Arabidopsis thaliana: one gene and its partner. The main gene of each other region encodes a partner of the protein of the gene in region 2 in a complex. Each region holds a gene or a part of one and is shown on either strand. Other genes may lie near its edges. The genes, in order: CXIP1 and AT5G09830. A codon is read from its position in the direction of its gene.

Region 1 (7,474 bases), on a different chromosome or scaffold from region 2:
ATTATATGTTTTCTTTTAGGTTTTATATGTAAAGGAAAATTTTAGATCTTGAGTAGGCAATGAAAAATCAACTAAAAATAAATTTTAAAAAGGAATAATTTATGAGCCAAATATAGAATTTAAAAATTAATTAAAGGAGTTTACTTGTAGTTGGTAATGAGTAAATAATGTATGTATCCACTAGAATACAGATATATCTTTGGGTCAATGAGACAGAAAAAATTAAGCATGCCCCACGCAGCTCAAGTTTCTATCTCAATCTTACGTGGATATGATTAGGAAGATAGCTCCATTCTTTATTATATTGGAAGAGAATGGTGAAAATTTTGTCACATGTCAAATCTAAAGTTTTCTTTAAGTTTTTTGAAATATAAAATAAATTATTTGAAATTCTGATTACTTGATTTTAATGAATTAAATTGAGAAAATCATATAATAATAGAATACTAAGCCATATATGAATTAAAATCTGTAAACATTAATGTGGTATTGATTTTTCTTCAAATTCTAGCTCAATATATAATTAAGGGAACCATTGAATGTCAAAGATGTTATTTTCTAGAACTATGTCTCATTTAAACTTTATAGTTGAGAATATAAAAGGAAGACAAAACTTTCCAAGACTCTGTTTAGAGAGTACTCTATTTTGTAGGTGAAGATTAGTATGCAAAAGAACAAAAGAAAAATTAGTAGAAGTATAGAACAAATGTGATAAGAAAGACATCAACTAATTTCAAAAAAAATCCTTAAATGATTTTACTAGAAAAGAGAGGGAAGAAAATTAACAGGATTGTTTTTGTTCAATATGAAAAAATGTAGAAGGTAAAAATGAGGGGGAAAAAAGATGAATAGAAAATATTCATCAAAACTCAAATGTAAAATGCATGTATCTTGGTGTGGTTCAATAACCATTTATCTAAGTTGATATAAACAAAAAGCATATTTGGATAGAGTTGAGAACTCTAACAAATAATCATGAGCTAACAATGTTTCTTCTGTTATGGAGTTTATAGTATGTGAATGTGATTGTTGAGAAATCTAACAAATAGTCATGAGCTTACAATGTTTCTTCTGTAGGAAGCATGAGATGTAATGTGTATTTGGGTTCAAAAGGTTCATCACTTAGAATTCAAGCTCACACGAGCATTCGATCACCAAGACAAATTACAGGAATTCACAAATCTGTCTTTCATTACACAGTGTTTTTGATACACATAAAGCTCATAAGGTACACATATTTCTATTTTTACATTCATTAGTTGAAAGGGATAACAATATCGCCAATGTTGTTGTGCCATGGATCCGCCAAGTGAGTTGCCAAGTTCTCCAATGGTCCTGTCCCCGGGTAAGCCGACTGTTGCACACAGAATCCTACAAACGCCAACAGCGCAAGCCGCCCTGTTACACCCACCAAGCAAAAAACACCAACATTAGATATACATTTGTACATAAGTTTGATCAAGAAAGGTAAGTTGTTGTGTGTGCTTACCGTTCTTGATCTCTTTAACTTTCAATTCCTCGAGCTTCTTGGGGTCCTTCGAGTATCCAAGAGGGTCAAATGCGCCTCCCGGGTACTTCTTCTTCTCAGGGTCTTTCTCCATACTTCTCTGGTGCTCAACAAATGCAATGGCTAAGAACTCAATGGCCAAGATTGTGGGCAAAGTACCCCACGGGACTGGGTTTCCCAAGTAAGTGGCTTGACCCCCTGGTAGTGCTGCCCATTCCTGAGCCTTAACCCAGTTTCCATATCCTAATGCTTCTGGTACCAAAATCCCAGGCTACAACACCACCCACCAAGTCCATTAGATTAAACTTAACAAGACTAAACCCTTATGATAAGACAAAGATTGGATATTGAAACTTACAACAGCGAGCATAGCCCATCTACAGTGGATGAGCTCTGACTCTTTGTATCTCTCAAGGTTCGCTGGAACTTCTCCAAGTCCAAGTGGGTCAAACCCAAAGTCACTGCACAATGTTGTACCCAATAACTTAGAAAAACTGAAACTTTCTAAACAACCTCCAATGTTGAAATCAGAACCCTTAAGTCATCAAAAGAGGTTCCAGTAATCTATCTAGAATCTCTGAATACACAACTAAAGGGAATTCAAATTCTGAAAGGAGACAACTTTCTGAAATATGAATACCCAATAACATAAAAAAAATTGAATCTTTCACAAAACGTACAATGTTGCATCATGTCATCAAAACAGAGTAATCTAACAAACAATTCTGATTCCAAACTGAGCAACAAAACAGAGTAAAAGGGTTCGAAGCGTACCCAGGAGCAGAACCGTCAAGGTAAGCTGGTCGTGGCTCGCCAGGCATCCAGTGAGCAGCCATTCTGATACGACCAACATTCCCGGCGTTTGGGAGTGGAACTCCGGCGGATACGAATTTAGACTTGGAAGAAGAGAGAAGCGAAGGGTACACGGCGGCTATGCCACAGCTCATAAGCGAGTTCGACGCCATCGTTTCTCTCTATCTGTCGTTGTGTTTGCCACCAAAGGAGAAAGATGTGGACGAGAGGTGTTTGGTGGAAGTGTGAATGTGGGAGACTGATCGTATAAGTAAGATTTGTGAGATGAGAATCTAAAACCAGATTGCAATTGGCTATACAGAGCCTGCGTGGCTTTTTCATTGGGCCACGTGTCTTCTCGATATCATGTTCTTCTGTTCGATATCCATCTGCACTATGTGGTTCAGATAAAAGCAGAATCTACGTATATTACTATTTTGCCATTTATCCACTGCAACGAGATGCTATCAGATAAGTCTTCCTGTTCGGTGAAACACATTTCTACTAATGTTTTAAAACTTGACCCGGACCGGTAAATCTGCGATTGGTCATGAATCCGGTCTGGATTTATTGCTAAGACTGGAGACTTATCAAACCGGTAAAACTTGGATCAACGAACACATGCGAGGCTAAATCATATGTCTTGAAAGGAGTATCTAACAAACGATACATTTTGAGACAACGTGTTTAGACATTGAAGTGAGACAGAATACCATTTGCAGACACACTGTACCGGTGAATGTTCAGAATCTTTGGAACTAAGTTTCTTTAAATTGTATCTCAATCAGGATATGAATGAGCATAACAACCCATGACTTCATGTCTCTTAGTCAGAAACAAACTTAGATTCTACTAGCACTACTTCACACATAAACCTTTCAACAAACAACACAAATTTGCAGGCCAACACATATGACAAAGGAAACTCAAATTCCAAGCAACTCCAACTGTTGTATACCTAAATCCATCATACAATATATGTCTCTTAATGTTACAACCACAAACTCTGAAACATCAAAATCACATTTTTTTTCCCAGGTGATAGATAGATAGATAAGATCAAATTCCATCATCACAAAAACCAAGTATTGAAATCAGGATCAAGAGCACATAGCTTTCTCCACCTCTTCCTGCAATTCTCCAGTCTTAAACGCCTCAAGAGTAATATCACAACCACCGAAAAACTCACCGCCGATATAAAGCTGAGGAAACGTCGGCCAATTCGAATACTCTTTAAGTCCTTGCCTCAACATCTCATTCTCCAGAATATTCACATCTTCGAAAGGAACATTCAGATTCTTCAAAATCTGAACCACAGTGTTGGAGAATCCACACATCGGGAAGTCTCTCGTTCCTTTCATAAACAGAACCACTTTCTCCGAATTCACCAGTTTCTCCAGCGTGTCTTTAAGTTGCGGCGTAAGAGCCGACGCTGAGCATCGGAATTTAGTTGGTTTCAGCTTGAGATTCGAACCGTAGAACGATAGCTGATGGTTATGGACGACGAGTGCCGACGTTGGTTTAAGAGAGAATCTGATAGAGTGAGGCTTGTTGGTAACGGAGGAGGAGACGACGGCGACCGAAGTTATCAAGGTCGGCGTTTTGACAGATCGGAGAGCCATTTTTGACGACTTTTAGATTTGGAATTGAGAAATTGAAAAGGTAAATGATTTATGAGCCACAGACACTCAGTGCGAGTGAGAATTGAATAAACCATGTTGCCAAACATCACCACTAAGCCGGTAGTGCATGTCATAATCATGGGTTTAAAAATAAAAATTAGAGGACATTCCGGTTCGGTTTGGTTCGACTCTTTAGATTCCGGTATTTTAGATATTAAGAAATTGGTTGGTTCCACTTGGATCGTATTAGTATTTCGGTTTAATAATTTTAGAGAAATTATCAGGGCATCAAATGCTTTTCAGTTTTTCAACACAGAGCTAGTTCTCTTTTCTTCATTCACAAGGTATGTATATATCTCTACACACCTATAAAACCCCATAAACGATTAAAACTTATCATATAACTTCTCCAATCAACATAATTTGTTTTTTGGTGGACAACATATAGAATAAAGTTTTTATCACATACAAAAAAAACGGAAAACATAGAAAAAGATGGTTGACGAAAACAAATTTTCAGGTTGAAGACAAACCATACGAGCCCGGGGACATGGAAGAACTGAAGAACAAGCTTTGTTTTGGTGATCAAATACTCTCAATCAAACACGAGTTGGCATGTTGTTGAAGCTCTAGAAGAAAGTGCCAACTCCTTTAACATGTCAAATCTTTCATCATCAAAAACACATGACTTGATTGTTGTGGTCTTCAAGTGAACAGCGTTCTTCAAGAAATACACTGCAAGATCTCTCTCTTCTGGTGTTCCTCTATATGCCGACAAGTTGAGAGTTTGGAGACTCAACAACATACATTCAGGGACAGTACTTGGTTGATGCCAGTAAAGGATATCATGATTCTCATGATACTGAGATCAAACAGAAGAAGAATTACAGATCAAACAGAAGAAGAATTACAGATCAAACAGAAGAAGAATTACACTAAAACCATAATGTGCATCAGACAAGAAAAAAGAGTTTGACGAACAAACTTACATCCATTTCGGAAAGGTCTAGTGCTTGTAAGTTAGAAGAATCTTTGAGCAGTCGGACAAGTAAATCCGACGAATGCCCTTTGCATCTACATAGCTTCAGATGTTTAAGCTGGTTGAAGACAAAACCTCCATCATACATAGCCTGCGCAATATTAAAAATTATCAGCAAATGCATATCTAAACAATGAGTTGAGAAAATGATACCTGTGAACATATTGAAAGACGCTTGACAGATGTGATTGATCCAATAAGACTCTTGATGCTATGTAATTCAACATCTATATCTGCCTCTATCAGGTTAGGCATATTCTTAACCAAACAGTAGTGACTCTTACTGTTATGGTCTATAAGTTTAAAATACTTTAAAGAAGGAGTTTCTATCACAATCCCATCGATCTCATAAGAATGAGGTATAAAGAGTGATAAAATCTGCAAAGATGGGACAACAACAGTTAGCTTTTCCATGCTGTCTGACAAAAGTAAATCCACCAATAGATCTTCAAGAACAGGGCAGTTAGATAGAAGCCGATGAAGAGAGTCTTCATTGAGGTATCTCACGCTGTGAAGTTGCAAAGTTTTCAGAGAGGGAAGAAATGCCATTCGAGGAACATCCAAGCGAATCTCGCCACAGAGTTCCAAGATCACAAGCGATTTGCAGGTATACAAGTTACTCGGCAATATGTTTGGCTTCTCCGGATATGAAGAATAAATAACCTCCAGCTCACGCAGGCAGTGAGAAACTGCTATAACAACCCACATCTTGATATTCTCAGGTGTGCATTTTGAATCAATTAAGTAAAGACGGAAGCTTTCTATAACCGGAGCTCTATGTAATGGCAGATTTTTGTCAAGAAAACACTCCAACCTCTTGCATTCAGAAGAATCTCTATGACCATACTTAAGTTTAGGCAACCACATCCAAAGATACTCCCATCTTTTCGACAAAATGCTAGTGGATACAGCAATTTTGTTGGAACAAACAATAATATCTTAATAAGCACTTCATCAGATAACTCACTGAATCTATCCATATCTTGAAACCCGAAACCCCAAGTTACTGTTGTTACTGTCGACAGAACTTGGGACCCTAATAAGAAAGAAGATAACATCTTTCAGGCTCATAAAGCTAAAGAAGCCAATTAGTAAACAAGTGAAAACTCGGACACAAAGAGGAACAGTACTAAACCTTAGAAACAAGCTAGATTGTTAGGTGAAGCTGAGAAATTTTCAGTGCCCAAAGAACTGTATATCCTTTTCAAATCTAGTAGAATGGTAGTCTGAACTAGGAATCAAGAAAGGGTAAATGTAAACGAAGCTTGAATGGTACATAGCAAGGAAAAAGGAATATGAACAAGTTGGTTTATCAGAAGATACCACAATCGCTGAGCATCGGAACGACAAAGTGTTGTCCTCACCGTTGATACTCACACTGGCCACTGACCCACTCATCAAAGCGTTCGGCGTCCATTTAATTTAGGTGTTTAATTACCATAAACGATGGGCCTGGTTATGGGCCTAACTTTTATGTTATACGCCCATTTAACTTGGGTGTTTAATTACAAACTTGCTTTAGCGACGACTTTGACGAGAAATGAGAGGCCCAATATAAAATACGAGCTTGCTTACCAAAATTTGAGACCCAAATAGTAAACCAATCTCCTCCAGAATGCAAGTGGACACAAATCCCCAAGAGAAACAGAATCAAAATCTCAAGAAAACCTATTAGCCCTGTTTCCAGCAAGAGGGCAGAGAAGCAGAGAGAGAGAGAGTGTGAGAGAGAAAGCAGCTTCTTCTTCTTCTCCTCCTCTTCTCCCTTATGTGGATTTCAAATCCTTCTCTGCTACTCTCTCTTCACATTTCTCTACCAACATTCTTCTTCTGACACTCAACACACACACTGCAACTTCCACAGCTAAATCTAGCAACACCAAGTCAAAATCCGCCACTAACGATGCTTCTTCAAAACTTCTCCAACACCATTTTCCTTCTCTGCCTCTTCTTCACACTCCTCTCCGCCACTAAACCCCTAAATCTCACTCTCCCTCACCAACACCCTTCCCCTGATTCCGTCGCTCTCCATGTCATCAGGTAAACAAAAGCTCCTCCCTCTCTCATTACACATTTTCCCAGATAAAATAAAAACTCAAACTTTCTTCTCCGAAATTCACAGGAGTGTAAATGAATCTCTTGCAAGAAGACAACTAAGCTCACCATCATCATCCTCATCATCATCATCCTCCTCATCATCATCCTCTTGCCGTACCGGAAACCCAATCGACGATTGCTGGAGATGCAGCGACGCAGACTGGTCAACAAACCGACAAAGACTAGCAGACTGTTCAATCGGCTTCGGACACGGCACACTCGGAGGCAAAAACGGCAAGATCTACGTCGTAACTGACTCATCCGACAACAACCCAACAAACCCAACACCAGGAACACTCCGTTACGGCGTAATCCAAGAAGAGCCACTCTGGATCGTCTTCTCTTCAAACATGCTCATCAGACTAAAACAAGAACTCATCATCAACAGCTACAAAACCTTAGATGGTCGTGGCTCAGCCG
Region 2 (5,727 bases):
GCTTCGTAGAGCTCTTCTTTTATATGAGAAACTGTAATCTCTTCTTGTTCTTGTTCTTGTTCTTCATCTTGTTGTTGTTCATTTGGGGAGGAACAAGAACTCTGTTCTGTGACTTTCCCGATGAACATGGGTCTGAGCCTAAATGAGTTGTCACTAAAACTCAGCGTTTTGCCATTAGAACTGGTGAAAGAGACTAATACTTTCACGTTTCCTGTTCTTCTCGAGATTGCTCCTCGTGAAGCTGCCATTGATGGTGGCTGGAAAAGGTTACTCGTCATTAGCAGTTTATACACCAGAATCTCTAAACCCAATGGAGCTTAATAAGAAGTAGAAGAAGAAGATGGGATTTGAGGAAAAAGAGAGAGAGATAGATTTATGGGGAGGAGAATGGACAGTTTTTTTTGGTTATTTTATCCATCTTTTAGCATCTATCTCTCCCCCCCACCATACACTGCACTGACTCTATTATAAAATTTAGCCAATCCCATTGGTCTTTTTTTTCTTTTTTAAGATGGTGTCATGGTAAAATTCTCAAAAAAATCTCCATCTAAATTGAGAAAAACCCAATTTTTGTTATATTTTGCAACCAATTGCATATGTTTTAAAAAAGTGTTTACACTTCATCAAAAGCAGTAATCGGAGTACAGTAACCACAAAGTATCAACATAGTAAATGCTCTGTTCTTTGTCACAAGGCTTTTAAAAAACAGAAATTCAGGCATCTTTGGTTAAGGTTGCAGAGTCTTGTGATGGTGGCTTCCATTGTTGTGGAGTCTGAGCTTTCTTAATAGAGAGAGCATGAATCTCTTTCATTTCTTCTTCTAGCGCAGCATTCACCATACGATGCCTCTCCAGCAATCTCTTCCCTTCGAATTGTTCAGAGACAACCTCCACTTCAAAACTCGAACCACAACTGCAATAAACAGTTTTGCTGATATTAAGAACAAGAAATTATGCCATAAGCCAGAGAATCAAATGTGTATTGACAATCCGGTACTTACCCTCCAGATATGTCAATGACTTCCTGGTACACACAAAAACAAACAATGTCACTAAAAAATTCTAAAAGCTAAAGATTGAAACAATTGGAACACATGAATCAAGTGAAAAGGGAAATAGATTGACATTGAAGTAACTTCAATCTTCACATGTTATAAAGCAAAGAAACTATACACATCCTTGGATCTGCTTTTTGAGTTCTAGTTCACAAAAAACCATGACACAAATAAAATTTTCCGACAAGAACACTCACTACTAAGTTGCTAATACATCAGGAACACTACGTCATCAAATCCTGAGCTCAGTATCACACTGCATCAAATTACACCTAACTACGCAAACAACCACCTTTTATATTCTGTTTCAGAGCTGAAAGACAACACATAGTGATGTATAATCTAGATGCTGAGATTATTACAATACATAGTACCTCTTATGATCCAACTATCAAAGTGTATGATTTTGATCAAAGTGAGCAGGTCAAAAATCTCAAATTTGGCAATTTTCCCAGATCAATTTGATGATTAGGGTTTCAAAGTTTCCCACAAAAGTTTCAAACCCTAATCAATAGATGAAATTGAAAGAAGAAAGCAGTATAAGAACACTCACGAGATGAATTGGCTTAAGTTTCGAAGTCAATGAAGCTTCGACTTGCTCCTTCGTCACCATCTCTCTCTCTCTCTCTCAAACAAAAATTGAAATCCCTAATTACTGTACTCATTGAATTAGAATATTAAACCATACGCTATTTGGTTTTGGTTTAGCGAGAGTACGGTTTAGTTTGGTTCAATTGGGATACCATTCGGTTATCGACAATTCCAAAATAATAACTAGGGTTTAAGCTCTGCTTTCCTTTACTTCGTCTTCCTCACTCCTAAAACCCTCTCAGTCTCTCCATTTCCCGGAGCAAAAATAGCTCTCCGACCATGAAGTTTGGATCTTTACCATCCAAATCCCTTCTCTTCCGCCTCTCTTCTTCCTCCACAACCCAATCTCACCGTCGAACAATTACCCTTTTCATCACTAACATTCATTCCTCTCCATTCTCCACCACAACCACCTCCGGCTCCAATTTCGTCTCCGGATCCAGCCATTCTCCCTCTCGACGTCCTCAGCAAGACGAAGAGTCCCGATCCGTTAGGGTTTCGGTCTGGTGGGACTTCCTGAGCTGTAACTTACCTGTAGACACCAATGTCTACAAAGTAGCACAATCAATCACCGCCGCTATCAGAAACAGCGGAATCAAAGGACCAATCACAATCACAGCCTTCGGTGACGTTTTACAGCTCCCCAGATCAAACCAAGACGCTCTCTCCGCTACAGGAATCAGTCTCACTCATGTTCCTAACGGTGGTAAGAACAGTGCTGATAGATCTCTAATCACAGATCTTATGTGTTGGGTTTCTCAGAATCCACCACCAGCTCATCTTTTGCTAATCTCTAGTGATAAGGAGTTTGCAAGTGTGTTACATAGATTGAGGATGAACAATTACAACATTTTGCTTGCGAGTAAATCATCAGCTCCTGGTGTTTTGTGTAGTGCTGCTTCTATTATGTGGGATTGGGATGCTTTGATTAAAGGAGAGTGTGTTACTGGTAAGCATTTTAATCAGCCTCCTGATGGTCCTTATAACTCTTGGTATGGTCACTATAGGATTCCTCTTCTTGATCCATTTGCTATTGCTACCACTACTGAGCAATCTTCGTCTAGTGTGAAAATCGAAGAACTATCCGAGTCTGTGAATTCGAATGCTGTTGTTAACCTTCGTCCTATTCCAAAAGAAGTTGTTGATAAGATTCGTTCGATAGTGAGTTTATATCCCAAGGGGGCTGCCATTACAGAACTACGTGCTGAGCTGAGTAAGAGCAACTTGGCTATTGATAAAGATTTCTATGGACATAAGAAGTTTTCGAAGTTTCTTTTATCCATGCCAGATATCTTACAGGTTACTACAGTAAGTGAAGGCTTGTTTATGATTCGGGCTGTTACCGAAAAGAAGCCTCCGATGCGGCTTGATTCTAGTCCTCGTTTGTCTACTGCTGTTGATCAGAAGATTAAAGATAAGGAAACTGTTAATGCTCCATCACCAAAGCTAATTAGCGATGTAGAGCTTGCTGCTGAAAGAAGAAGAGATGGCTTACTTGGAAAGAAGCAGGAAAAGGTATTGGAGAGTGATAAAATTGTTAAAGAAGAATCATCAGAGAGTTCTCAAGACCCAATTCTGGTCGGCCAGAAGGATGTTAAGGCAAATGTTAAACCCGTCGAGACGAATCAAGTCGCTCTTGTTGCGTGGAGTGATTCGTCCATGGAAGATGGCTTTTTTCAAAAGCTAAAAAGACTGTGGTATGGTTCACCTGAGATGGAATTAGAGCATCTCCCAGAAATGAAGAGCGTTTCTGGAAGTGGAGACACACATAGAGAGGATAATGACTTAAAGTCATCAAGTCAGGGAAGTGGAAACAAACATAAAGAGGATAAGGACTTAAAGTCATCGAGTCAGGGAACTGTGCCCATGTCTCAAATCTCACCTTCTTTCGTTGCTGAGTCGGTCGATGAGGTAAAAGTTGGAGCTGATGACGTAGACAGTAAAGATAAAGATGCAAGTCCAGGCTTTTTAGGTCGCCTTTTGAAGAGTTTCAAGTTCTGGGGAAAGAATACAAAGTCTAGCAAAGACTCTAGTGGGAATCAGGAGCTTGTCAATGTTGATTCTCAAGTACAAGACATATTTGCAAAAGAGTATTTTTGGAGTGATATTGAATCTTTCATTAATTCTCCAAGAGGCTTTGCTATAGTATCTCACTCGAGGACAAGGTGCGTACATTCTCTTCCCTCCTGATTTGGCAGGACTTTGATTAGATATTGATTAATATGTAAATCTATCTTAGGTTCAGAACTATTACAATTGGTTCTTGCATTAGCCATTTGTTGTCTTTTTTGGGACGAGTATTCAGCTAATGCTGTTCCGTCTTAACCTGGTCAGGGAGGTGATGGCTAAAAATGTGCAGGAGGAAGGGCCTTCGTGTCTCAGACTGCTCGATGAATCAAGCATGCTTCATTTAGTTACTTTGCTAATATCAGAAAAGAAATGGATTGAAGAAACCCCATCTTCTTCTTTACCATTCAGAATCATCAAAGGATCTAGCCCTGGCCACCGTCATGCTTCAAACGGTTTGAGCTCAATCTTCTCGGATTCTTCAAAATCACAGTGGCAGAAACAAAATGGTGAGAAAAGCGGCAAGAACGTTGCTCATGCTGGAGTTTCTGTTGGTTCTGTGGACCGGAAAGAGCTGGAAAGATACAAAAGTAATGCAATAGCGGATTGTCAGAAGATGATAAAGAAGATAACAGAGGAACACCCTGAAGGGTATAGCCTGATTCGTTTCAGGAAAGACTTCTTAGAGGAGTATGGGTACCATTTAGCGGTTGACAAGCTCGGTTACGACAACCTGCAGTCTCTGATTCGAGTCATGCATGGAGTGAGAATAGCATCTGGATACATCTTTCCTTCAACTCCTTCACCAAATGCCAAGTCAAAAGAAGATGATTCGGACTTGGCATTCGCAGAACTTGGTCCAGTTTCTGATACAACAACTACCCACCCGACGACCAAAAAGCTTCCAGTATATGAACCATCACTCTCAGAGGATGAAGAAGATTCTGGTTCAGAGAGAGATAACCCAGAGAAGAAGAAGCAACAGATGATGAGTAAAGAAGGTAAAGAGAGCTCGTTATTGCAAATTCTGGATTCTTATTACACAAATAAAGATGGAGAATTGAAGGAGAATCCGGTGGAGAGGAAGCTTGTAAGCAACGGTAGAAAGCAAAAGCCTACAAAGACGTATTCTTTTGTGAAAGATTCAGAAGTCTAGTGAGTCAGAGGGTTGTTTACTGTTTAATTAACAATCTCCCGAGGAATTGAGTGTAATTAGTTGAAGCCGGTTTTGGGTTTGGTCTATGGTAAACCGAATCCGGTTAAGGAGAAATAAGATTAATATGGTTCAAACTCTTTTCAGTGGCAAGTCGCATCGTATGCATTTATTGATAGGTTTTACTGTATTACGTGATTTTTTAAATTAAATTTTGGTTCTTAATTTCAACGTTGATGTGTAAAGCACGGAATGAATGAATAGAAATAGAAAAATAAAATGTACTCCATAAAAGATGGAGTTATTTAAACATTTTATTCGATTAGATTAAATGAAGAGTTTAAAAGTGATAATGACATGCTTTTTGGTTATAAGTTAGGTATTAAATAGTTAACAAACCAAAACTAGATTTGGTATATAATTTATTGTTGACCATAATGTTTATACAGTTTTTTTTATAAATAAAAAATGAAAATTTCGGGGGTTTCAATTTGTGCCAGTAGTTTCATTTTAGTAATTCTAAAAAAGTTTATAATTGTTGTCAGAAAGATGTATCTAAGGAGTAATTATTAAATAGGAGTAAGAGAAAAGTATTTAATGAAATGTTGTGACATACATGTGGAGTTGCTTGGTGAATCATCTTTGTCACTTGAGTCTTCTCAATGGACACTCGATTAAAAACACACACCAATAAAAGTACTTAAGAAATGGATAAAGAAAAGAAAATTGATCTTATTATTTAAGCCTAATCTTGTCTTGTTCCCTTAAAATATACCAATATTAATTACCATTAAAGGCTATGTATACATATTTTAATACAATAATTAAACAAAACAGCTCATGCGTATCCACAATGATTCGG

The links.
Region 1: the proteins of AT5G09830 (region 2) and CXIP1 are in contact, whole or in part, in an NMR structure (PDB 2MMA), measured with the Arabidopsis thaliana proteins. Residues at the interface, in NP_568217.1 of Arabidopsis thaliana: Arg46 (codon at 860), Leu47 (codon at 857), Leu48 (codon at 854), Arg50 (codon at 848), His51 (codon at 845), Arg52 (codon at 842), Asn55 (codon at 833), Met62 (codon at 812), Ile65 (codon at 803), His66 (codon at 800), Ala67 (codon at 797), Leu68 (codon at 794), Ser69 (codon at 791), Ile70 (codon at 788), Lys71 (codon at 785), Gln74 (codon at 776), Gln78 (codon at 764); in NP_191050.1 of Arabidopsis thaliana: Lys130 (codon at 3,534), Ser133 (codon at 3,525), Asn134 (codon at 3,522), Trp135 (codon at 3,519), Pro136 (codon at 3,516), Thr137 (codon at 3,513), Glu146 (codon at 3,486), Phe147 (codon at 3,483), Phe148 (codon at 3,480), Asp152 (codon at 3,468), Ile153 (codon at 3,465), Glu156 (codon at 3,456), Ala157 (codon at 3,453), Thr160 (codon at 3,444), Glu162 (codon at 3,438), Glu165 (codon at 3,429), Glu166 (codon at 3,426).

What each region holds. Positions count from the first base shown.
Region 1 is NC_003074.8:20,338,451-20,345,924, forward strand, and holds CXIP1 (CAX interacting protein 1), read right to left. Parts: upstream 4,015-7,474; 5' UTR 3,922-4,014; coding exon 3,400-3,921; 3' UTR 2,907-3,399; downstream 1-2,906. Other genes in the region: LHCA1 (chlorophyll a-b binding protein 6), read right to left, coding at 1,256-1,398, 1,490-1,778, 1,866-1,968, 2,282-2,472; AT3G54910 (RNI-like superfamily protein), read right to left, coding at 4,517-4,783, 4,911-5,051, 5,114-5,827; PMR6 (Pectin lyase-like superfamily protein), read left to right, coding at 6,861-6,997, 7,080-7,474. UniProt on the Arabidopsis thaliana protein: May only reduce GSH-thiol disulfides, but not protein disulfides. Probably involved in the regulation of the redox state of the BOLA proteins. May act as Fe-S cluster donors to Fe-S cluster-requiring proteins.
Region 2 is NC_003076.8:3,057,103-3,062,829, forward strand, and holds AT5G09830 (BolA-like family protein), read right to left. Parts: upstream 1,724-5,727; 5' UTR 1,668-1,723; coding exon 1,608-1,667; intron 1,024-1,607; coding exon 1,001-1,023; intron 913-1,000; coding exon 714-912; 3' UTR 501-713; downstream 1-500. Other genes in the region: AT5G09820 (Plastid-lipid associated protein PAP / fibrillin family protein), read right to left, coding at 1-278; AT5G09840 (Putative endonuclease or glycosyl hydrolase), read left to right, coding at 1,925-3,810, 3,980-4,868. UniProt on the Arabidopsis thaliana protein: May act either alone or in interaction with glutaredoxin as a redox-regulated transcriptional regulator, or as a factor regulating Fe-S cluster biogenesis. The GRXS17-BOLA2 heterodimer binds a labile, oxygen sensitive iron-sulfur cluster.